Drosophila melanogaster: one gene and its partner. The protein of the gene in region 2 purifies or fractionates together with the protein of the main gene of each other region. This does not show direct contact. Each region holds a gene or a part of one and is shown on either strand. Other genes may lie near its edges. The genes, in order: CG31249 and CG5913.

Region 1 (12,078 bases), 8.2 Mb from region 2:
AAAAGATACTGACTGTGTTTCTGTTTCTTCTTATCCACAATCAACAAACATTTCTAAGGGGCTTTCAAAAATACTGGGTTACGTGATACTGGGTAGATGAATAATCCGTATACAGCAAATCTTTCCAGGTTTACTCTATCTACATATAACTAACTCTTGATTTCATTTATTAACAAATGTAACCATTTTTAGTGTTTCCAACTGTTGTATTGCGACCATTGTGACAATTTAGATGGTTCATAGCATCTTCACTACAATTTATGAAAGTTTTTACAACTCCAATTGTCTATTATCTAGTCCTATGAAACCGACATTCATTATTACGGATGGGTGGACTGACCACAAAGTTAAATTAATATTTAATGGCACAATGGAAACGGGTTTCCGTCAAACAAATCGATGGCGTTTAACGGAAAGTAAGTAAAGTCCGGGCTGCGGATTCCGATTCCGTGAGTATAGAGGCGGGGGAGGAAGAAGCAGCAGAAGCGGTGGCGGCAGAAGAGAGCCAAAGCCAAAAGAGAATAAAAAGCACAATAAAAACGCCGGTAAAGGTCATCAACCGGAAGAAAAGCGCCCATGTGTGCGTGAGTGTGACTGGCCAGTGTTTTTGTGTGAGTTTTTGTATAAACGAGTGTGTGAAAGTCGAAATCTTGCTGCCAATTATCATTATGACCATCTATAAATAATTATGTATTATGGTCGAACAGCATGCAAAACACGCTGGCTGCTCGGCCTCGTTACAGCCAACTGACAAACTGGCAAACTGACATCGAACTGCACAGTTGGCCTAATTTTCCCGTTTTTCTTTCTATCTTTCTGTGCCGTTGCTTCCCTCCCTCCCCCTTTCTTTTGCGGCGCCCCAGTGTTCAATTAGCTGCCTGCTCACACACACACTCGCACTTGCTGGCACATGGAATTTCTCCCCTGTTGGTGAGCCCCGGCCAGAAATGCCAAGTTGACCATTTTCTGGCCTTTGAAGGCAGCGTGTTTGAAGTGGGTCAAGTATTCGCCAATGCGATTACATCTCTTCAAATGGAAATAAAAAAGTTATTGATCCTCGTAACTGTGTATAATTATTAAAGTCCTTATGCGAATTATAAATGTCTAGATTTGTTTCTAAAAAAAAATTGTTTTTCATAATCAACTTACATATCCTAATAACTTCTTAAAACTGAAAACTTCCAATCTATCTAAAATTTAACCGGGTTCTCCATTTTATATTATTTTTGTTCTTTCATAAAAAAATAATTTGAAATTATACTTTTACTAGCTTGCTTTCGCAGCAGCATCACTGATAACGGTGCAAGTGCTTTCCTCGCTCTCTCTGTCACCGCTGAGCGAGAGCGTACTCGCACTCATTCATTATTTTTCATCTATTTATTCATAAATGCATTTTTTGCCCCTGCTATTTTCAGCGGCTCAAGAGTTTTAATTTTAGAAAGCACTGCTCCCTACTTTTCGTCTTTTTCTCCCGTAATATTTATGCAACATGCAATGCTGCTTTATTTATCTCTGTGGGAAAGAAAGCGTGGCATGTTTTTTGCGGTGTGTGGTGTCTTCTTGTTATTCCTGCGTGGGAGCGTCAGGTTCCAAGTTCGTTTCCCTAATTTTTTCTTTTGGTCCACAGATGGAAGGTTGGTCTAAAATGTGGAGTGACTCATAAAGGCTATAAATAGGCAAATTGATATTGTCTAAAGCTGGCGGTTAATGATTATTGATTGCTGACGTAGACGTCGATAGCATTTGTTGATTGTCAATTGGTTTTCCCCGATGACGAACGATTTTTGAGTCTATGATTTATTGGACTGCAGCTGCTCTGCTCCGCTCTCTCTTTTGAGCTCTGCTCCGCTCTCGCTCCTTTGATAAGCCCGCATATGCTTATGTGTGTGTGTGTGGTGAGGTCAGCGCATCAATTATGCTCATTTCTTGTCTTTTTCTTTGATAAAATCAGCGAACAACAAATGGGAAAGGGCGGGGGCAGGGCCCCGGCCAGACGGCGGCGCCCGAGATTTTTGGCAAATCAAAGCAGTCAGCTGTCCCCTTTGCTCATAATTAAGCAATGGGGAGCAGTGAAAGTGTGTCGACTACTAATTGGCACCTTGAATAATTGCACACCGATAAATAAAGTAGTGGCTTCCTTTTTCCTCTCAAGACAAAAGGGCGTCGCACTGCACTTACACACATACATGTACACCGCTCTCCCCTTCTTATCTCCAGTCTCTATACTTCTAACGCTGATTTTCAGCCGATTTTAAGCCACTTGCAACGTCAACAATTTTCACAACATTTCACATTTACAATGCAGTCTTTCTTTTCCTTCTTCTTTTCTTTTTGTTGGAAACGCATCCGCCATTTGCAAGCCACTTGTGTATGTGTGCCGGAGCGCTGCGCCTGTTTGAGTGTGTGTGTGTGTTGGGTTGTCGCGTCGACAGTTTTTTCATCACTTTGCTTGGATTTAGATACGCTTTATCAAACCAGTTCTTACTTGCAACTGTTAAACTTTTTCTCAACTTTCTTATGCCTTTCGGCTGCGGACTTACACTTTTTCGTTAGTGGGAAAATTGAAACATTTGCAAACAGAGTGACCGTGGCGACATACTCCAAAAATCGCGCCAGTCACATAATAGTCCTAAATTTGGACAACTAGCGATGACTCAAGCCGCCGGATAAATGCGCTATGTTTTTGTAGCCGAGACACGCTACGTGGGGAGAGCGATGTTTTTATCGTGGACACAAACCAAATTGAAATTCTTCACCGAAGATTTTATCGCGACTGTGCCATGGTCGCACTGATTAGCTCACCGAAACGTTCATTGAATTTGTTTTGATTATCTCGAAATAACAAGCTATTTTCTCAATTTTCCTGACAAAAATGACATCGATTGCCAAGTCCATAGTACTATTGGCATCCCTGGCCACGTTCGCTTACTCCCTGTACGTGGTTGGCAGCCTGATGATGTTCCTTTCGACGCCTCGTTCGATTTCCAAGGCGCACACCTGGATTTTCAATTTACTGGACAACAAGTCGCGCCTGCAGACCGCCTATGGACCCGTGGTGTTCGATACCCTCTACCTGATCGGATTCATCTTCCAGCACAGCTTCCTCAAGTCAGCCGTGGTCAAGAAGCTGTTGGCCAAGTTGGGATTGTCGGGTGCGGAGCGCACTATTTATAGCCTGACGTCATCGCTTTGTTTACATGTTTGTATACCCACAAATTGGACAGAAATAGCTCCCAACTGCAACTTTGGACATTTCAGTATTTGATCGTCAACTGGCTGCCCGCTCAGTCGATTGTTCTGTGGCAAATCGATGTGGAGCAGAGTGCTCCGCTTTGGTGGACCTTCGTGATCACCCATGGCATCTGCTGGGTTGTCATCTTTGGCGGCAGTTTGGTGATGGATCTGCCAGAGCTGCTGGGCGTCAAGCAAGCCTACTACGATCTGAAGGCCTACGGACCGCCCATCAGCTACAAATCCGGGGAATTGCGCAATCTGTACGCCCATGTCAGACATCCCTCGTTTGTGGGCCTGTCGGTCATCCTGTTCGCCACGAATGTGATGAGCGTGGATCGGCTAGTCATGGCCTTGCTGCTGACCACCTACATGTACCTGGCCTGGTCCACAGATCAGAAGGATGTGGCCTATCAGAAGATTCAACTGCAGCGCAAGAAACTCGAACTGAAGGCCAAGTAAACTTAATCTCAAAAGTGTTCTTACTAAGATCTAGTTGTAAGTTGACATGAGTTTGTATTGAATAATACTTTTCTAACAATTTCAGTTTCCGAATCAGAACGAAACAAATAATGAAAAAACTAAAAGATATATAAAAATATATATGGTTCAGTTTTTACTATTTTACTACTATTGCTAGCTTAATTAATTATTTTAAAATTTAACTCATTCTTACGATAGAAGGATCAAAGGGCTGTCCTTTAAACGGCGAACCTTCGGCATCCCAGGCAGCTTTCAGGCGATCCAGGTTTATAGCTTGGTCGGGACTTGAGGTCTGAATTTCATTTTGTTGCTTGTCTGCTGCCAACTGCTGGACCCTAAGCTTTTCTATGGTGGCCTGGGTTTCCTCCGGCAAATCATCTATATAGCGTTCGCATTCAATCTTCTTGGAATCGATTTCTGGATCACCTTCGAAGAGCCGATCCCACCAGAGCTCCTTTGCTTTATCTACAGTTATATACAGTTTATGAAAATGGTTTATAAAGATGTTTTAGGTGAATGCCCACCGTAACTTATGATCAATCGGTTCTGATCAATTGTCCACACCGCCTCCTTGTGTTTAATCCGCTGGCTCAGGTTTCCCTCGAGGATGATCGTCTCTGGGCTATGCTTGCTGCTCACTTTGATGTGCTGGGCCTGAATTGAAATGTGCAGCTTCTTCGCCGTTTGATGATCCTTGGGAAGCAGAGCCTGCACCTCCACATCCTTGAGGGTTTGTGACCAGCAGTGCGTTTCGAACACATCTCCGTTTTTGTAGTCGCTGGGGGAGAACTTTGACTGCTCCTTCCCTTTTTGTGGCGGCTGGCTCTCTATGGGTTTCATTTCCTCGTCCTGAGGACCATCTTCGCTTTCCAGGACCACTTCTTCGACGGCAGGCGGAGCCGTTTCTCCATCATCTGCACCGCCTTCCGCGGTCAGGGATTGTAGCAAGCAATCCGGATCGTAGCGCTGCATGGCGCCATATAGAATCTGATCCCTCACGCCTTTGGGGAAGCCTATTTTATCCGCTTCATCGCGTTTTGTGTGATAAAAGTCGGTGCTAAAAAGGGAAGTGGGACTACAGTTTTGTTAAGGATCTTGAGATAAAATCTTTTACTTGCGTCGCAGAAATCCGAAAATGGAGTCCAGGAAACCTGTAATAGTTTTCCGATCCTGCAGAATTTCCATGAGCATAGCATCGTTTCGCTGAAAGTCCATTTTTGTAAGAATAGTAACCGGCCGCTTTTAACTTAACATCTAATGTTCACGTCTATCGATAACAATGCATTTAAATCGGCGATAGCTATTAAAAAGATAGATACATATTAAAGATTTTAGAGTGTGGTCAACATATATAATATTAATAGGAATCTAGTTCTATTAGAAAATAAGGTCAATAAAGCATTTGTTGATCGAATTAACAAAAAACCTAGTTTAGTTAACACAATCAAGTTGGCAGCCCTGCGACAAACTTGGTATATCGATAGTTGTCGCCTTATTTTCCAAATCCATTCCCAAATTGTTATTATTGAAATAATTTTAAAAATGATCGGTAGACTTTCTTTTTGGAACAAGGACAACGTTTCCAACGAGGTGGACTGCTTGGCCTGCCGTCTGGTCAGTGGCCTTGGACTCCTGGGAATTGGTGCCTTCCTATTGGCACAGTCGAAAAAAAGACAAGCGAAACCTCTGGAGAATTTCACTATGAAAGGCTTGGCTGCAGGTGAGCCACTTGGGATCTTAAATCCGGTCTTATGTTTACTCCTTTCTCCTTCGTCGCCATAGCCGTTGGAGTTCTGGGCGTGGCCCGCCTGGCAGACGCGAATTTCCTGAAGGCAACCGCCGAGAAGCCAAAAGAACAGGAAAATACTAGCACTGATCATCAGTTCTTTTCTAGACGTTAATTCAATGACGTTTTAATTATAATCGTAGAGTCACTTAATATATAAAGGTTAATGTTTTCTTTTGTACGACCATGTGGCATTACAATAATATAGCTGTAACCTTGTTTTTAGAATTTTTTCTATTTAAAATCGTTGAAAACAAAACCTTGTTTGCTTTAATGAATTTATGATTTATTTTAAATAAATTAATTACATAGGCATACACAATATTGCATCTTTTGAAAGAGGATCATAAATAAACATATGTTTGTATTAATAATAATATTATAAAATATCAACAGGATTCTTATTTTATAGCTTTCAAAAAAGGTGTTTGCTTGTTCATAGCTTGGCTGTTGATCTATCTATTGATTTCTGCTAAATGTTGTTGCTTGGCTTTAAAGGATATTTTATAGATGCAATTTTAAAACTTTTATGTTCTTTATGTCCTTTTATGTTATATTGTGTCGATTGCGTTCCTTTACTGTTAATCGTCTAGAATCCCACTTTCCCCAGCTTGGTATCAGTCTTTGGATTGGCCGTGATGTTCTGCACCGCCACAATGGTCTCATTGATGTGTGTCTGCAGCTCGCGTAGGCTCTGGATCTGGAGAAGACGTAGTATGCGCATGGGCAGGTCCAGGGCAGAGTCGTTGGACGAGACGACGTCGTTTCCCTTGTCAAAAGGGAAGGGTTTACCCACTACCGGCTTGCGATCCTTGGCGGCGGGCGAGAGGCGTTCGTGCACCACGCGAGCGATAGCCTCCAGCTGCAACAGATGGTTCGGGTGGTGCGGCACATTCAGTTTGCTGGCCAGCAGCCGGACTCCATCCACGAACGCTTTTTCCTGAGCTGGTGGGAAGAAAGAATTAATACTTGTTGTACTTTACCTGATTATCATCTATAGATAATAAAAGTGGTTTTTGGAACCTCTTAAAAAATCCATAATATATAAATTTAAAGTTCCTTAAATGGTAAATTTAGTTAAAATCAGACCATACTATTAATATTTCCATCGAAAATAGCCTGGACCCTTTGTTGGGACTGCTTGCCATTGCTTTGGGGTGGCACCTGTTTGGTGTTAATCGAGGCAAACTGATCAGGATCATCGAGGAAGTCCAGGCGCACAGCATAGCTGACAATCCAGGCCAGCTGCTCCTGCCGCGTCTCCAGGGGCGGCATGCTCAAATCGGCACAGTACTTTAAGTAACCCTCCTTCCAGATCTCAGGGTTGTCGACAGTGCGCAGCTTACAGCGATCCTCTATGGAGTAAAGCCGGATCTTCTGGTCCTCCAACCAGAGGACTGTGTTGGCGAATTCCTTGCGGTCTGCGGAACGAAAAGAATGGGATGACTTATAGCCCCATCAGGAAAACTAGACAATTACCGCTCATCACCACCGGGATGTCAACATCGGGACGACCCAGTACCTCGAGTTTCATCTTGAGCGACAGCATGCTTTCAACGGATTACTATACAAAAATCGATTCGCTCTGTTAATTTACAAAAAATGTTACAGCCGGCTGTGCTTATTCTTATCGCCCAAATTTAAGGGATGGAACATTAAACGAGAGGACTTATCGACGTAGAAATTGGGCTGCCAACTTGCTGTGATAAAGCTGTTCGAATTTAATAATCTCGAAAAAGTATCGATATATAATTTTTAAATCAAATATTTTGTAAGAAACTACTTACTGTCAAAAAGTATTTTTTCCGATAATTATTTTTTTGCACATCATATTATTCAATTAATTGAAGAACTATTAATACAATTTTAAAGCTCTTCATTGACCGATTAAAATTGTCAATTAATTAAAAAAGTCAAATTTATCCCGGAACACGCGAATTCTTAATATTAATGTAAGTTCTTTTAAAATTGATTTTTGAAATTGTAAATTTGAACAAATTGACATTGTAAATACAATGCACAAATTCCCAATCGAGTAACATCGACCTCAATGCTGAAAGTACAGCCTAATAACAGACAAAAGATCTTGTTACTAGACATTTTTGAAAACCTAGACATGGTATTTAGGTGCTCAATTGCATATTATCTCGAATATACATTTATATAATAATCTTTCGCTCAACAGTGAATGTCCTACGCTGAACAGAAGCAATATAGTTTATAATAATATAATAAGAAATATTTTGGGAATGCGTTACCATAGGATTCATCAATCTGACCAATTGATTTGCACTGAAAAAATCGAAATGAGTTCTAAAAAGTATTTCCCCGCCAAAAAATATTTTTCCCTTATCAGCGATAAGAAACGACAAGTACAAAGGCTGTATTGTATATCATATATGTATGTATATTAATTAAATAATTAAATTAAGTTTGAGGGACATACATTTACATCCTAGCAAATTATAGACTAATAACTACACGTTATATATCGAGATGCTGAGTTATAATATTTGTTTGCAAACAACTACACGAATACACGTATCAACAGCAGCAGTTTCCTATTATCTCCCAATATCTTGCAGTTCCTCTGGATCCAGAGGATCGCCACCGGAAACCGGAAGGACCTCTAGACTTGCTCATGCCAGAATCTGGAGACATTTCATTTTCGATCTCTTATGTAGCACGTTAATTATGTGTGAGAAAGTTTAGTATACAAATTGGTGCACCCACCCATGTATGGTTTTGCATTAATTGTTTATTGGTTTCCTAACGCCAAGCATTTTGGGTGTGGGTGTGGATGTGTGGTTATTAGTCCTTTTTGCGTGCTTCTCTACAGCTTTAGTTCGATTTGCTTCGCTTTGTGTTTTATAGCATTTTATGGTTTCGTTTTGTTTTGCTTTGTTTTCTTGGTTTTATTTGTTTTGCATTTTAAATTAAGATTAAGATAAAAACCTAATTATTTATCTTGTCATTTACGCCTTAAGTAAGTTCGATATAAAATAAAACGAAGCAGCAGCACTTCCAGCAAATAATACAGTTAACATAAGATTACAGCATTAGGGTTTCATTTTTTCGATTTTTCATGTTTCGTTTATATTAATTATGTATGTATATGTTATGTATTTTTATATATTATATCACCTAATTTGATTTCAATTTAAATTGTTTGCTTGCCTTCATCTGAGGGTTTTTCATTTTTGCTTGTTTGCTTGTTTCTCTCGCTTAATTTCATTTCCATTCGCCTCCGAGTTATGCGATTAAAACTAAGAAGTTGGAATTTTCGCAGCCCATCAATACATCATACAACATCATACACATAAACATAATACAAAATGCAGTGCTGCCACTTACATGTGCCTTGTAACATTGCGTAAAAACAAAAATACAGTGAAATTTACATAATAGTTAAGTATGTACAATGGTTTTTAGTCATCTCTAAGGATTCGTCCTTCTGCAACATTTAGACCACATTGAATCCAATAAACTGCCTTATATACGTGTTGCTTTTAAATATTTCCGCGTGAACTTTGGTGTTCGTTCAGTTCGATCAGTTTATGAGTTCCTATGCTGCACATTGTGGTAATATGTAGGTATTAGTAAGTGGTAGAATTTAAAAACTATCCTCTATGTATTTATATATCAATGTCTAGATGTACGTATGTATGCATTCATCCCTTTTACATACACAATTCATTCTCATGTAATTTAATGTTAGTTTATGCATTTATTTATATATATATTTAATATACGATAAACCGTAGCGTGCGTATGCATATGTATGTGTTAGTTATTCCTCCTCGCTCGTCGCTTCATTTTTATTAAATTTAGTACAATAAGTATGCTGTGTGCTTGAATTTCGCTCTTAACTTTGTTATCCTCCGTTTCCTATCTTCACGTTCGACTCAATAATAATCCCCGATCCTATAACTCGATCGGTTAGTATCAGTGGTTCTGCTCCGAACAGTTTCCTTTTCGAATGATCATAACTATGCTGCTTCAATTTCTTAATGCTTAGGGTTTAGGTTTAGTTATCATATTTACTATTTTTAGATTTGAGTGAAAAAATATACAGTTGTTATTGTATTGACTGTTACAGTGATGGATTGGCGAGCCATTCCATCGCAGATACATTGCAGGCGCTGCACCTGCTGAGTTCCCGTTTACGTATCCTTAGAGTTCGGACACGAGTTCTCGCACATCGTGACTCTCTCTCTCTCTCTTGGCGCCATACTTAAGTAAATTTACATGCCCACCCCACATGGATGCAGGTATCATCTTCTGGTCTTGCACTTCGGAGTTGCTCCTGGGCCCGCTGTTCAACCACCGAACGCCAGCTTAGTCGACTGCCCCTCGCGGGGTTCGTGGCCAGTAGTAGGACGCTGGCATCATTGTCGTATACTACGCAACGGCTGTCGTTGTTCCTGCATTGGTTGGTGGAGGTGCCGCTGGTTGAGCGACCGCTGCTCCGGCGGACACGCTCGACGATGTGGGCGGACCAACGGAAGCAGCTGCCGCCGCCGCAGCTGCTGCTGCCGCTGCACTGGCATTGCTTAAAGCCGCAGCAGCGGCCGCAGCTGCAGCCACCTTGCTCACCTGCTGCTGATCGCTGGCAATCGCTGCTGCTGTCGCTGATCCTGCTCCTGTTGCGGCTGCTGATGGAGCGGCTACCGTGATCGCCGATTGGCTGCTGATTGCACTGCTACTGTGGCTGCTGTTGGTGGTGCTGTTGTTCGTCTGGTTGCTGCTGGCCGTACCGCAGCTGTTGCTGTTGGTGCTGCTGTTGCTGACGTCGTTGAACGTCGCTGCCGGCGGCAACTGCTGGCTACTGTTGCTGTTCTCATCGTTGACCACTGCCGTAGTGGCTGCTGGTGCGGGCTTCGCTTCAGTGGAACTCGTTTCCGTCGATGCAGTCTCCGCTTTTACTGTCGCACTTCCTCCTGCACTGGCTGCTTGCTTCCCTGCAGGACCAGGTCGCAGCTGTTGTTGTTGCCGCTGCTGCAGCAGACGGAACTCCACGGAGTGAATAGGCCCTGTTCCTCGCGACACTTGGTAAAGAACACGCGAAATAATCAGAGCCACCTGTTGGTCCAGGATGTGCGACATGACCAGACCAAGCAGCCGCTGTTCTTGTTGCATGAACAGCGACCGGTTATCCGGATGCTTGGCCAGATGGAGCAGGGTGCCGGCTGCTCTCCGCAGCATGTCCAGGCTGGTGCCCATCGAGTCAGGATTCTCGCGCAGGTAGTTGATTCCGTGCTGGTTCGCCACGCCTAGCGCCGTCTGTTCGGCCTGCTCGATGAAGGCCACCAGGTATGAGATGCACGGAGACTGAAGCGCCACGGTCCGAGCCATGGCGCTGTCAGCAGCTGCAAGGTAGTGCAGCAGGTTCACAGAGAACTCTCGCAGCACCTGATCTTCGTTGCGGCACAGATGTCGGGTGAGCACGGCGCACAGCTTTTCCAGACGCGAGAATGGTGGAGTGGCAATGACGAGGTCAACATTGGCGTCCGTCACGCACAGCTTGCAAAGTGCCTCGAGTGCCAGTCGTTGTGGCGAGAGAACACTATTGGGTCCGCATGACGGGAACGGATCCTGTCCATGAGCACTCGGGCATACGGCCCAGTGCAGCAGGCCGTCGATCAAGGGGCGGGCAATTAGCTCATCGTAGCGCGACAGCTCCAAGTGTCCAGCAATGTTGGCCATGGCAACAAGCATATTCTCCCGAATGGTAATCAGATAGTCCCACCACCATTCACGTTCGCCCTGCAGCGAACTGCACGAGTCACTGAAGTCCGTATCCTCCTCGCGATCGTAGTTTCGCGTCTTCGGTGTGCGCCGCAAGTGCTCGTGGTTCAGGAGCAGCAGTCGACCAAGTACCGCCAGAAATCTGGTAGACTTGGCCAGCACCGTCTCGTTGCCGGGCACAAATGTCAGGTTGCGGAAGATATTGGAGAGAGCGATGCAGCGCCGCGCTAACGAGTCTTGGCTCTCGCTGACCAGGTGGAGCGACGCCTCATCTCGTGTGTAGCACTCATCCTCAAAGCTGGAGTCACGCCTTCGCTGAAGCACCCGCGCTTCATCTTTGGCAGTCGTCCGGGGATCGAAGATGGCGGGAGTCGAGGAGCAGGGTGCCACACCATTGGTCAGACGTTGTTGGGGTGCTTCGATATCCATATCAACGGGGCGACAATCGCTGTCCGCCGTACCTGGCTCCTTTTTGACTTCGGCGTTTGGTTGGGCAAATTCCTCACTCGTCAGCTTGGACTTCTTGCCTTCGGCGTGGGCTCCGCTGCTGCTGCTGCCTCCGCTAACCAATCGCCGTTTCTTGTTAAACGTCTGTTCCTCGGTACTATTCTCCTCCGTCTTTATTTCTGGCTTCCTGGATGAGGAAGCCAACTCCGTTCGCTTTCTCCCCTTCTTGTCAGAGCGGATGTAGCGTGCAAATGGAATGTTAACAATCTCCGACTTGAAGACGTCAATAATGCCGTCTAAGGGATCTGGCTCTGTGAACCCGTACGTCCACGCATCGCTACCTACGGGTTCTAGTTGCTCATACAGGCGGTTGGTGTCTATGT
Region 2 (12,027 bases):
CAACGCCACGGTACCAACATTGTTATCCTTATCTAAGGATTGGCGAAGTGACGATATGGCCGTGGAATTTGCAGGCTTAAATCGGAAATCGTTGACCAGGATTAGATCCTCATCTGCAGCCCTGCTACTTGGCTTATCCAGGATATCACCCTGTGGCAACTCAGAGCGAGCAGATCCGCGGTAACTGAGCACGGCTCCTTGATAAATATTTCGATTCTCACACTGCTCATAGCCTTTGATCCTGATCCAATAGTTTTTCTTGTACTGATTAGCTTCCAAAACGAAATCAAATCGCTCCGCGGAGGTCAAGAAGAAACCATCTGCCAGCACGGGTTCAATGTCATTACCATCGGTGCTGATCATCAAGAGCCTGTGCTGTTCGATGGAGAACTCCACAGGACAATTGGCTATTCCGTTCAGGATAACTCGCATCCTATAGCGATAGCCTGGAGTAACTCGAAGTCGTTCATACCGATGACGGTTATCATTGTCGGGCAATTGGCTGAGATGATTGCGACCCTTTCCGTTCACCAGAATATTCCGTACATCCTGCAGGTTGTATTCGTAGAATATATCCTGGATCATAAGGGTGTGCTCCACAAGATCATAATCATAAAGCTGTGAATGCTGATTCTCCTGACTGGTTTGGCGCACTACAAAGGCACCAGCCACTCCGAATCCCCGCTGCCAACCCACATGGCTGTGGTACCACAACGAACCACTTCGATCCACTTTGAATTCGTGGCGCTGAACCTCACCGGGCTGCAAAGGATACTGGGTAATGAAGGGTGCTCCATCCATTTCGGGAGTTCTATGCATATGCACTCCATGCCAGTGCATCGTTGTTGGCTCACTTAGATAATTCAACACATCCACGACAACAGTATCGTTTTCGCAGAGCTCTATGGAAGGTCCAGGAACCATGCGATTAACAGCCATCACTGGATTTGCCACTCCATCGCCATAAATACAATGCTCCGAAGCACAGGCCCTCTCATCGAACTGGCATCTCTGGCACTCCGGTCCGAGTCGCTGGTAATTGTGCACCACCAGTTGGTAGTAGCAGTTCTGCGATTGGCCCTGCTGGCAAACTCTTCTGCAGGGATGACGATCAAAGTCCCCAAAGTTGGCCAACTCCATCTGGCTGTAGTCGTTCTTCAGATCCAACGCGGGTGTACCCTTTGTGGTTTTATTTCGCATCCAGGCAAACGAGGGCCATTCGAACTTGGCCTGCGGGAAATCGTCCTTGGAGGACTCACATTGAGACGGGTTTGAAGCGAAAATCAGTAGTACTATCAGCACCAGGCTGGCAAAACTTTTACTTTCGCGTTTGGACATCGCGAACCGCCACGGGCAACTGGCCACTCGATTCGCGGGCAGCCGACGAAGAAAGTTTTGGCCCATTGGGCGACCCAGACCTTTGCGCATGCGCCGCACGTAATGGCCATTAAAGCTGAGCTGAATTCGATAAGCTCGAAAATAATATTGAGCGATCAAGTTGAAATAACCCAACAGTTTGGCCACTTATAAGACTCTGGCTGTAATTTAAATAAATATTATAATACCATAAATATATTTCGAATTGATGAAAAATAGGCCACTGATGCTTTTCATAACAACTATGCCGAAAAATATGATTTGAAAGCACTATATATATGTTTGAGCTCGCAATGAAGCATACAGATTTAAGTGAACATAACATAGTAAAACAAGATGATTGGACACTGATCACTGACTCTGATCAAAGCCTCAATTGAGTAACTACAAATTATTTATTAAAGGAATGATATAATTACAAGTTAAATCTCTGGATTTTCCATTGCAGGTGGTGCTGGTGCAGCTGTTGCCATACCTGATGAACTGGCGGCTGTGCTCATAATACTTATAACCCCACAGGCGATGGCAGGACCCAGTGAATTCTCCTCGTTCTGATAGGCCAGGGGATTTGGCATGGCTTGCAGGGAGGAGGAAAATACCTCTGCATTTAGGGCAGTATTCAGATCGATTGCTTTGCTGTGTATCACTATGGAACGCCCAACGATCCCATTGATGCCAAACAATTGCAGGTAAATGCTCTGAAAGACCGCCGAGATGCTGCCATCATCCTTGGTGTCCACATTACCGAGCTGTACAACTCCAAAGGCTTAATTAAATCACATAAAATTTAAAATCATTTCCACTGGATCTTACAAAGTTATTGGGAAACTGTCCACCGGTGGACTTGCAACCATCGCTGAGATCGCCAAAGGTGTGAATATGCAGGGCATGTTTACCGGGTGGCAATCCAGTCACATTGATCGTCACCCTAATGTCCGAGTTGTAGGGCAGCTGCACAAAGGATATCATTCCGGCCACGCCCGCTCCTTCGCCATCGCCCATCAGTTTTGCACCCGCCTGCCATTGAGGCACCAACTGCTGGAAAATATAAATCAAATATAATAAATATTATAGTATAAAAATCAAGATCAAACTGCTTAAACAATTCAAATGTTGGGGTAAAAAGTGTATGGCTTGCAAAAAAGAGAATAGTTATATGCAATTAGCATTTCACATCATTATAAAATTAAATGGCAGTTGCAAAAAATGTGCGAGTGGGGGAAATACACATTCTTTCATTGAAATTGAATCTGCACAATATAATGTAATTCTATGGCTGGAGCACAAAAGAAATCTAAACGCTTAGTTAAATGACTGTGTAATTTACAAATTATGACGGGGTCATAAAGTTTAATTTGAAAACCATAAATACTCACATAGGTGTATCCCAAATACGACGGCTGAGGAGGCAGCAGAGGTCCCAAAAGGCCAGCGGCTCCTGGAATGCCGACAGGACCACCCAGCGGAACCGTCAGGCGCTCATAGCGCTTCACTTTGGTGCCGGAAACGACTTTAATGCCATCATCGAAGCGGGTCATATTCACCGGACGCAGTCGATCCAACAGATTTTGTGCACTGCCAGGCGCAAAAATGCCGCCATAACCAATTACCAACGCCAATATCAGTTTAATGAGCATTCTAAACTGGTTAAGTTAGGACTCGAATGTGAGAAACTTGCGACCTCACCGTTCTGGGGCTTCGGTTGAACTGATCCAAGCGCCCGACTCGGCTCATCCATGATGACTTCGACATGGTTTTCACGCCGATTGACCACGTTAATTGTCACCGGCCTGCGGATCGCAGTGGTGGCGATATATAGACAGATATATAGCCGGCACATTTGATGACTAGATTGGAAGCTAATGGCAATCGAGTGTCGCGTGTGTCTGGGTCTGATGCCTGGTTACCTGCCACATGGGCGTACTTCTTGCGGGGATTGAGGGCAAGATCACAATCCCATTATTGAGACGTTCAGAAGCGGTTGACAGTTCAATAATATCGAAGCATAGGTAAGCTATTATAATTATATTACCACAAATTGGAACAAAGTACTGATGAATTTATAATATAGTATATATGCGTTGACGGTCTATAACTAAAGTTTAACTAGATCATCGTTAAAGTGTATATCTAGTATGCAATATTTTGTAACAAAGCGTTGACAGTAATGTACTCTATTGAATATTTAATTTTTAAATTAAACAAATGGTAATACCAAATATACGTCACAAACTATATAATATAATGCTGTAATAATAATTCATTAGACTTAGTCCGTTGCCCTCATTATCTATCTGATTAATTTGACTATAATGTGAACCTAAAATGGCTAATCACGAACACATTGAAAGTGAAACACCTAACCCAGATTCCCAAAAAGCGAAATCGACACGCGAGATTTGCTGGCAAATAGATGGCATATTTAGTTTATTTTATAAATACCTGCCCATTTGCAATAATTAACAAATTCGTTAAATTTCGCAATAAATTAAACTGGGGTATGCGTGCGATTAAAGACATGTAATGTTAGTAGTTTACAAGAGGATCAGTCGTTTATGGTCTACATTTTTGGGAATTAGGGATCATCGGTAGCCGCCACGGTATCCTCCGCGACCGCCTCCACCTCCTCTGCCTCGTCCTCCTCCATCACGTCCTCCTCCATCACGTCCTCCTCCATCACGTCCTCCACCATCACGGCCGCCTTGTGGATTCCAGCCTGTACCCTGCACACGGCCACTCCCGCTGATCCATTGCTGATCATTTCTATCGCTGCGGTCACGTTGTTCGTAACTTTGGTTTTGATGTTGCTGCTGCTGCTGCTGAGGCTGCTGCCAGTTGCCACCTCCACCTCCTCCTCCACCTCCTCTTCCTCCACCGAAGCCGCCACCGCCGCCGCCGCCCCTGCCTCCTCTGAAATTACCTCCTCCACCGCGTCCGCCACCTGGAGGACCACTAGCCCTTTGCTGCTGCCACGAGGGCATCTCTGGTGGCGGAGGAGCATGCTCATTGGCCCTGCCTCCGCGATCGGGTACCCGACCAATCACATGCTTTTGGATTTTGGAAGCCGTATTCTTTCTCACATTCGCTGAGCTTGTCTTCTCAATGATGGCCAGATCTGAGCGAGCTGCCAACAGGGCGACCAAGTCGGTTTGCTTTCCGCCCACTTTAAACTGATCCAGCTCCCTCATCTTGCGATTGAATCGATCCATGATCTCATTGGAGCGCTGACGCATAGACTCCGACCACTGAAAGCTTTGTACAGTGGCCTCCAGACGCGTGGACATCATCTGCCTGCGCAAATTGTACTCCGCCTCCAGTTCTCGGTGCAGGGTCTCCAACAATTGCCATTGTGCATCAGTCAAGGGCTTCTTAAGCTTCAACAGCGGTTCGCTGAGCACTTGGGGATTGGTTTTTTTAATGGCCTGCTCCAAGCGGGGAGTTATCTTCTCGAAAAGCATCTTGGTATTGATGTTCTTAGGCACTTCGCCCAGCTGAAGATCCTTGGCTAAGTTTTCGACAACCTGTTGGACATTCGTGTCCACCTTCGATCGTTTGCAGGGTGGACCCACGGGCTGGGCCTTCAGAACCATTTTGGTGGTCATCAGTTCGGATGTGAGGTACTCCAGCAGCTGCACCAGTGCCATACGGCTCTTGAATCGCTGCTCTATGGGTCCCTGCACCAGCTCGCGGTACGGGCAGCCAAGTTCCGTGAGTAGCAGAGACAGCTCGAAGGAAAAGTCTTTGTTAAGGGCTTTGCCCTGATTCACCCGCTCATCGGTTTTCCGCAAAATGTGCAATTCGTGGGCGAGCCAAAGAACCACCTCTTGCATGTCTGGACTTTCAATACCCGCGTCCAGGGCACGACTCAGATTTTCCTGCTTTTGGCAGTGCCCTTGGAAGGACAGCGCCTTCAGGGAATCCACCAAATACAGTTCCAGATCTTCCATATCCTTCGAGAGTTTCAGCTTTTCCTCGAATTGTCAACTTTTTGCCTCTCACCGGCGTGGCAATGTGACCATTGCTTTGTGGGTCGGAAATATCAAAAACTTTTCCAAAGCCAACCTGCCAACTTGTCAAAATAGCGCTGCGAGGTTAGCACGGGCACATACCATGCAAATATTTTGAAAAACATTTTTCGTTACCTTATTTCAAACGAATTTATATATAATATAAAGACTTGGTAAAAGTAATTAAAATAACCACTTTAAAACCCAAAGCCCAAATGAAAGAAGACCGACGTTGGTTTACTTTTACATAACTTCATTTATTGTAGTTTACCAATTTCAATATATATTTATGTATATATAATTTATATTTATAAGTATGGTATATATGTATGTATTTTTGTTTTGTAAAGCAGGAAGTTTTAGGATTCGCATGAGTCGCACCTTTGGTGCCCACAAAAATCGTACAATTTTCTTTTGCGTTTTTTTTTTTTTAGGTTCTTCTTTTCTATACATACAACATTGATGTACTTAAAATGAACACACACATTTAGCTATATAATGTATACATAATAATGTTCAGTTACTTCATGTCTTCCAAAAGAGGTACTAACTAAAATAGAAACAAGTGAATCAAGAAAGCAAAGAACGCACATTGATGCGAAAAAAAACACAATTTTCCTCTCCTTTAGGACAATGATTAAAATGGCACAAAAGTAAAGTTCCGCTGGTTAAGCCGCGAAATGCAGTTGATGATCGATCGCGCGGACTTAGGTGAAGCTGTACTGATTATCGACGGCCCGTCCGGTGCACTCGGCTCCTCCACTGGATCCCGATCCGCCTCCTGCTCCGCCGCTGTTGCTGCCGCCATCGCTGGGATGCCGGTTGCCGGAGGAACCCGCCTGATGGTGGGCAGCTGCCTGAAGGGAGGCGTTCGAAGCCCGCAGATGTGGCTGGTCCAGGAAATTCTGGGCCGGTGGCGGTGATCCGTGCACTGTTAGCGTTGTGGGATCCAAATGGAAATAGACTTGCTCCGGAAAATAGACGTGTGTTGGCTCCTGTGGCAGTTCGATTTCATTTGTCTTTAGGCGAACACTCAAATTCATGGTAATCACTTCGTTGCACTGTTGGAAGAGTATTTAAAATAAAGTTTAGTTAGTCTGGAGACTTTTTCGGGGCGGTCTGGGGTGTGTGGTGAAACATGAAGCATGCGACAATCAAATCAAACTAAACACGAACTAACTAAAATACAACATATTTACTTGAAACAAAGGGTTCCAAAATTCATTTATCCGGTTTTGAAATATGCAAGTTATAATTTAGAATTTTAGCTTCATTGATTGATTAAAGTTACTATTGGAATCAATCTTTGGATTTTTAAAACAAAATGTAAGTTAGTTACTAAGCTCTAGATTCATCAGTTCACAGTTCAAGCCCCATCCCAGTTGATATGAAATGATAACAACTTAATTGAAATCAAAGTAAAATAAAAAACCATCACTGACACTGAATTGACTCCAAAATTTTGGCTATCTCACATGTCTCGGCGACGGATGGCCACCGCCAGCAGCTCCCGATGCAGTTCCTCCCGCCGCATTCGATGCCGTCGATGAACCCTGACCATTATCGTAGCCATTGCCGTTCCCATTGCCATTCCCATTTGTCGAAAGATCGTTGAGTTGTCCTGAGTCATGATTTGCTGCCGTCGTCGGGTCATTCAGTCTGCTGTGTGAGTGCACCCATTCGGTAAGAGTCACATCCGAAGTGCCGCCCGATTCCAGTGGTATCGGGTTGTGGCGGAAGTGTTCGAGCATTTCCTGGATCGAGGGAAACCACAGGTGCTGCACCCGACACTGACCCTTCTCCGAAATGGTGAGCCGCAAATGCTTGGCTCGTCCTTGGAAGTTAAAGGTCAGAACGAACTCGCCGCGGCGCGTTTCGCTCTGTCGCACCAAAAAGTATCCATGTCCGGCTGCATCCGAATGGAGTACCATTCTGGCAGCTTCTGATCGCGTCAGTGTGCCGTGGAACCAGGGAAACACGCTCATCTCAGCCGTCAGATCCGCCACATCTGCATCATTTTCCGTGCCCTCGATGCCATCGAAGTTGCTTGAGGCGGACAGGCGCTGTTCACCTCGATGGGGTCTTACAGGTATGTCAGGTGGCCCGGAGGTCGGTGAGGTGCCCAATTCGTTGATGACATTTAGTTCGCTGGCAGAAGTGGCTCCTCCCTGGCCCAAAGCACTGTCTGCAGACAGCGATGAGGTGAGCGGAGCTCCACCTCCCACCAGATTGCCATTCGAGCCGCGCTGCTGCTGGTACTGCGGATTCTGAATCCCACCAATGGGATTGGGACTCGGAAGTGTCGGCGATGTTTGCATGGCGGACGCCATAACACCATCCGACTCGATCGTTGGCTGCTGAGTGGGTGGCGTTCGCATGCAGTACCGTATTGTGGCTAGCCAACTCCGCATCTCCTCCGCGCTCTCCGCCTCAATCACATACTCCATGTTGTTGTCTGCCTTGAGGACGAATGTGTTCAGCCTGTCCGGCATCTCAAGTGCCGTTGTTTCGCGAGCCTCCGAGATGAGGAAACAAAAGACTCCACTGCGCGGCTTAGTCGCCTTGTGCGGCGTGTAAAACTCTAGCATGTAGCCACCCACGGCCTTGACCAGTACAAGTCGACACTTCTCCCACTTTTGGGAGCCCGTCGGTTGATCCAGACTTTCCGGCGTCAGGTTGTTCACTGTGCCCTCCTTCCGGCACTCCACAACGATCTTGGCCAGCTTCGTCTTGCTCTGCTTGCCGCTGCCACCGCTGCCATCCAAGTCATCCGAGTTCTTGTGGAAGAAGGCCTGCAGCAAAGAGATCTTTGACAGTTAAAACAAGTGGTGACAATATAGCCGGAGTTTCCGACTATAAAACATCCTGGCACTGAAAAGCTTTTTAATCAATGTGAAATACTTCATGATCTGCAAAATTGAAAGAAAGACTTGCATAATTGACAGCATGTTCTGATAATCATGACGTATTCAACAAATCAAATAGAAGATAATAATACCACTTCAGTGAGGTCTAATCGGACTTATGGACAGAATGCAAAGAATGCTAAAGTGAATGCTTTTATCTGCATACTTTTAGTTCGTGATTCGTGACCTTCTTAATGGGTATTATCGGACAGAAAACAACAATCATGTCTAAAAAAAAAGTATAAGCATCAAGTGTGGCCTCGAAATAATCAAAAATCAATCTATTCAATGATTTCGAGAGGATTTGAGAAGAGCATCAACTCACCTTGCCCTTGCGCAGTCCTTTGAATGATAGTCGTCTTAATAGAGACTTTGAGAGCAGTTTTGGCACCTCGTGCTCCTCCTCGAAGTCCAGCGAGCCCGCACCTGATTTAAGAGTGCTCCTCCGCTTGAAGAACTCCGTGTCGTAGTGCGCCGAAAAGGATTCCACAAATTTCTGAGCAAAGCTGCGATGCTGGATGTTCCTCGCCTCCTCCGGCGGCAGATTGCCATTAATGTACGTGATGCACGCCTTGGCGAAATCCGAGGCAGCCACTCTGGCGTGTCGTTCGCAGAACTCCTCCCAACTGGTTCCACCGTATGCATACGAAGACACTCCCATGGCGTTGCCCGTGCCAATTGGTGCGGGTATCAGGTCACTTCCTGCTGCTGCTGCCGCTGCCGCCGATGAAGTTCCCAGGCTGTGATGACTGCTGGCCGACGTGGGCCCAATGTAACCGCCAGCGCTGAAGGCGCTCGTATTCGCTCCTGTGCTATTGCCACCCATTTGGCCAGGTGGTTGCCAGTTCCGCTGGTCCAGGTCCTCCTCCTGCTCCTGCTGCCGCTGCCTCTGCCGGTTCCGGTTCAGTTTGCCACACGAGTTACCCAGCTGGAGTCCGTTTCAAAAGCGCTGAAATGTTAGACAAACAATGCGATCGCGGTTTAGTCGAGTTACTTCGCAAAAACAGCGATCATTGCTGATCGCTTTGAAGAATACAAAAGCATTTATAGTTTAGTTGTTATATGTATTATATATTGGGCCGATGTGCAACGATCTATTTCTATTCTCTGACTCACAGGATTAAGGTTTTCAACGAGTTGGGGGAATTTTGGCAACTTTAATTCTAGAAAACTTGATAAGAATTAAGTGCTGACCAAAACAAAACAATAAAAAGTTAGCTTTGCTTGCTATTTAAACACAATATTGATTTTACAAGCCTGTTTATTGAGTTATTTAACAGCCTGACTTATTGATGGCGCAAAATGGTATATTTTCTTAAAACACGGGTATGCAATGTATATAATGATAAGCGCCCAGACTTAAGCACATATTTTTGTTCATAACAATGTACACTGAAGAATTTTGCATTTATGTAATGAATATTTACGCATGTTTGCACATTACATTAAGTAACACGCATTTTCAGTGCCACAATTAATCCTTTTTCTCGGCAATTAAAAGTAAACGAAAACAAACTTGCGGCGTAGCCCACACACACCCACTCACACAAATGCGAGGGCAGACACACACACCCACACAGCGGCGCGGTGGTGAAAAATTTCCCACAGGAATTTCCACGCCTACGTCACATCGCAATATGCGCGTGGAACACGCTTATAATATAATCAAAAATACTATTGAATTTGCCACTCGACACATGTAAATAACTCACTTTGCGGTTTAAGTATTATCTAAATGCTCGGCATCTTTTTTATGCTTTTATTTTTCTACACAAAGTGCATGATATCTCGCTCACACGCACACACACACAAACACACGCACATCCGCTCAAAATATTCTTTTGCGTTGTTTTGTTGTTGCGAGCAAAAGGAAGTGGCGAGTTAGTCAATAACTGAAGTGCACATACACTTGTTTGTTGTTAATTCGTAATCATTGGTTGCCAGTTCCGCTTGAGCTACCGTCTGGTTGCAATATTATTTATCACTGATTTGTTTGTGTTTTTTGCGATTTAAAACGAAAAAACCTCGACCGTGAAAATTAGAGCCGGACGAAAATCGATATGCATAGTATATATCTATCGATATTTGTTGTATCGATGTTCTTTCTGGAACGTAACCCCGCTAAATGGAGGTGTGTACTCGCTAACATGAATTTACCCGCTAAGTTGTGACCGCTCGCCACAGAAAACCCGATTACCGCAAGGTTGTAAACTTTGGTAAGCAAAATGGTGGGAAACTTAGGAATATTTTGGCGCCAACATTTAAATGTAAGGTTTCAAAAAAGATCTACCTACTACATTACAAAAAGCGTACATGCTTCCAATTTTTGTAAAAAACGCTTATAGGCAATGTTGTTTTAAATCTCACATTTTTATTGTTTCTATACGTTTCGAAATTGCATTTACTTAAAATTAATATGTAACTATCGTTTCCATATGCATACAGTATTTATTTATTTTTAGCTGCGTTAATAGTAAATAATTAAAATTCTTGAAACTTAATTTTGTGAAACACACGCAGTGCAACAGTTGTCGTCTAGCATTATTAATTGATTTATTGTTTGCAACGAACACATGCATTTTGGCAAAACATCATTATGGTTGTGAAGATGTGTGGGAAACATTGGGTGACAAAACGAAAAAATCGAAGGACGGAAATGAGCGTGTGAAACGGAAACGGATCTCGATTAAATGTGTATGAAGGCGAGCTTACTAACTATTATTTGTTGCATGGTGGTTTGTTATTATTACACATAACTTAAGTATTTACAGAACGTACTGCCCGGAACAGATTTCGAGTGGATGATGTATGATTGAAATTCGAATCTCAAACTGTCTTCTTGCTAGTCTTTTCGCTATGGTTTACAGAGTTATTAGTAATGCCTATTAGTTAGTAACTAATATTTCGCTTGACCTTTGTTCTACTCGCTAGTTATCTGCATGATTGGAGACATTAAAGCCAATTTGAATGAACTCTCGTATGAAGTATATATATATGTGAATATATAAAACCTTTCCGCTTAGGCTAAAAACTATAATTACTCGGTTTTTGCTTTTATTTCACTATGAAAACGAGGATCACCTAACTTAAAACGAAACTTAGTTAAGTTGAGTTAAAAAATACATACTCAATACGTTATTTAAGAGACAAACGTTAGTATTAGATCTTATGTGTGTGTGTTCTTCACATTGTATGCTGTTGGTTTTTTGTTTTTCTTTGCTTTTAGATAGAGTACACTCAGACTTCCAGTTGTTTTGATGGTTGTTGCGCGATAAACGGCTCGCTCCACATGCGCCGCAGGTCGCCCTGCAACAAGTAACAAAACATTACAGATATCGACCAAATTCGGAACTATTCGAGCATGGAGTATACCTTCAGATACGCCATCAGCAAGAGCGGCAATAACGTAAAGGGCACTAGATACAGCAGCGCCGGCTGGGCCGCCTTAAAGACCTCGGAGCTGACCGTCGCCGTTAGCAGGCCCAAGAAATAACTGCAATGTAATGGAAATTAGTATTTATATATATTTTTATAAGTAAGCAATTTTTCGTATACTCAAACATTCCATTTATTCAACAACTTACCCCAATAAGGAACAATGAAAGTATGTCAACCGGGAGCCAACTCCTCTGGGTGGTGACAATGTGGGATCCGATGTGACGCCCTGCGCCTTCTTGTACGCATCATACCGCAAGACGAAGCACAGCAACAGGCCCGGCATCACCACATCACCCAGG

What was found.
Region 1: the proteins of CG5913 (region 2) and CG31249 purify together in Drosophila melanogaster (affinity purification with mass spectrometry, with the first as the bait; one large-scale study listed by BioGRID). This does not show direct contact.

What each region holds. Positions count from the first base shown.
Region 1 is NT_033777.3:17,679,917-17,691,994, forward strand, and holds CG31249 (uncharacterized protein), read right to left. Parts: upstream 7,156-12,078; 5' UTR 7,050-7,155; coding exon 6,980-7,049; intron 6,922-6,979; coding exon 6,595-6,921; intron 6,446-6,594; coding exon 6,090-6,445; 3' UTR 5,773-6,089; downstream 1-5,772. Other genes in the region: CG7655 (uncharacterized protein), read left to right, coding at 2,873-3,199, 3,259-3,693; CG31251 (uncharacterized protein), read right to left, coding at 3,893-4,179, 4,239-4,771, 4,829-4,929; CG31360 (uncharacterized protein), read left to right, coding at 5,257-5,434, 5,497-5,615; osa, read right to left, coding at 9,902-12,078.
Region 2 is NT_033777.3:25,886,867-25,898,893, reverse strand, and holds CG5913 (uncharacterized protein), read right to left. Parts: upstream 5,400-12,027; 5' UTR 5,325-5,399; coding exon 3,960-5,324; 3' UTR 3,868-3,959; downstream 1-3,867. Other genes in the region: Mco3 (multicopper oxidase 3), read right to left, coding at 1-1,404; Sodq (sodesque), read right to left, coding at 1,800-2,126, 2,191-2,415, 2,754-3,014; Lnk, read right to left, coding at 6,092-6,445, 6,860-8,191, 8,616-9,116; SppL (signal peptide peptidase-like), read right to left, coding at 11,528-11,596, 11,663-11,783, 11,875-12,027.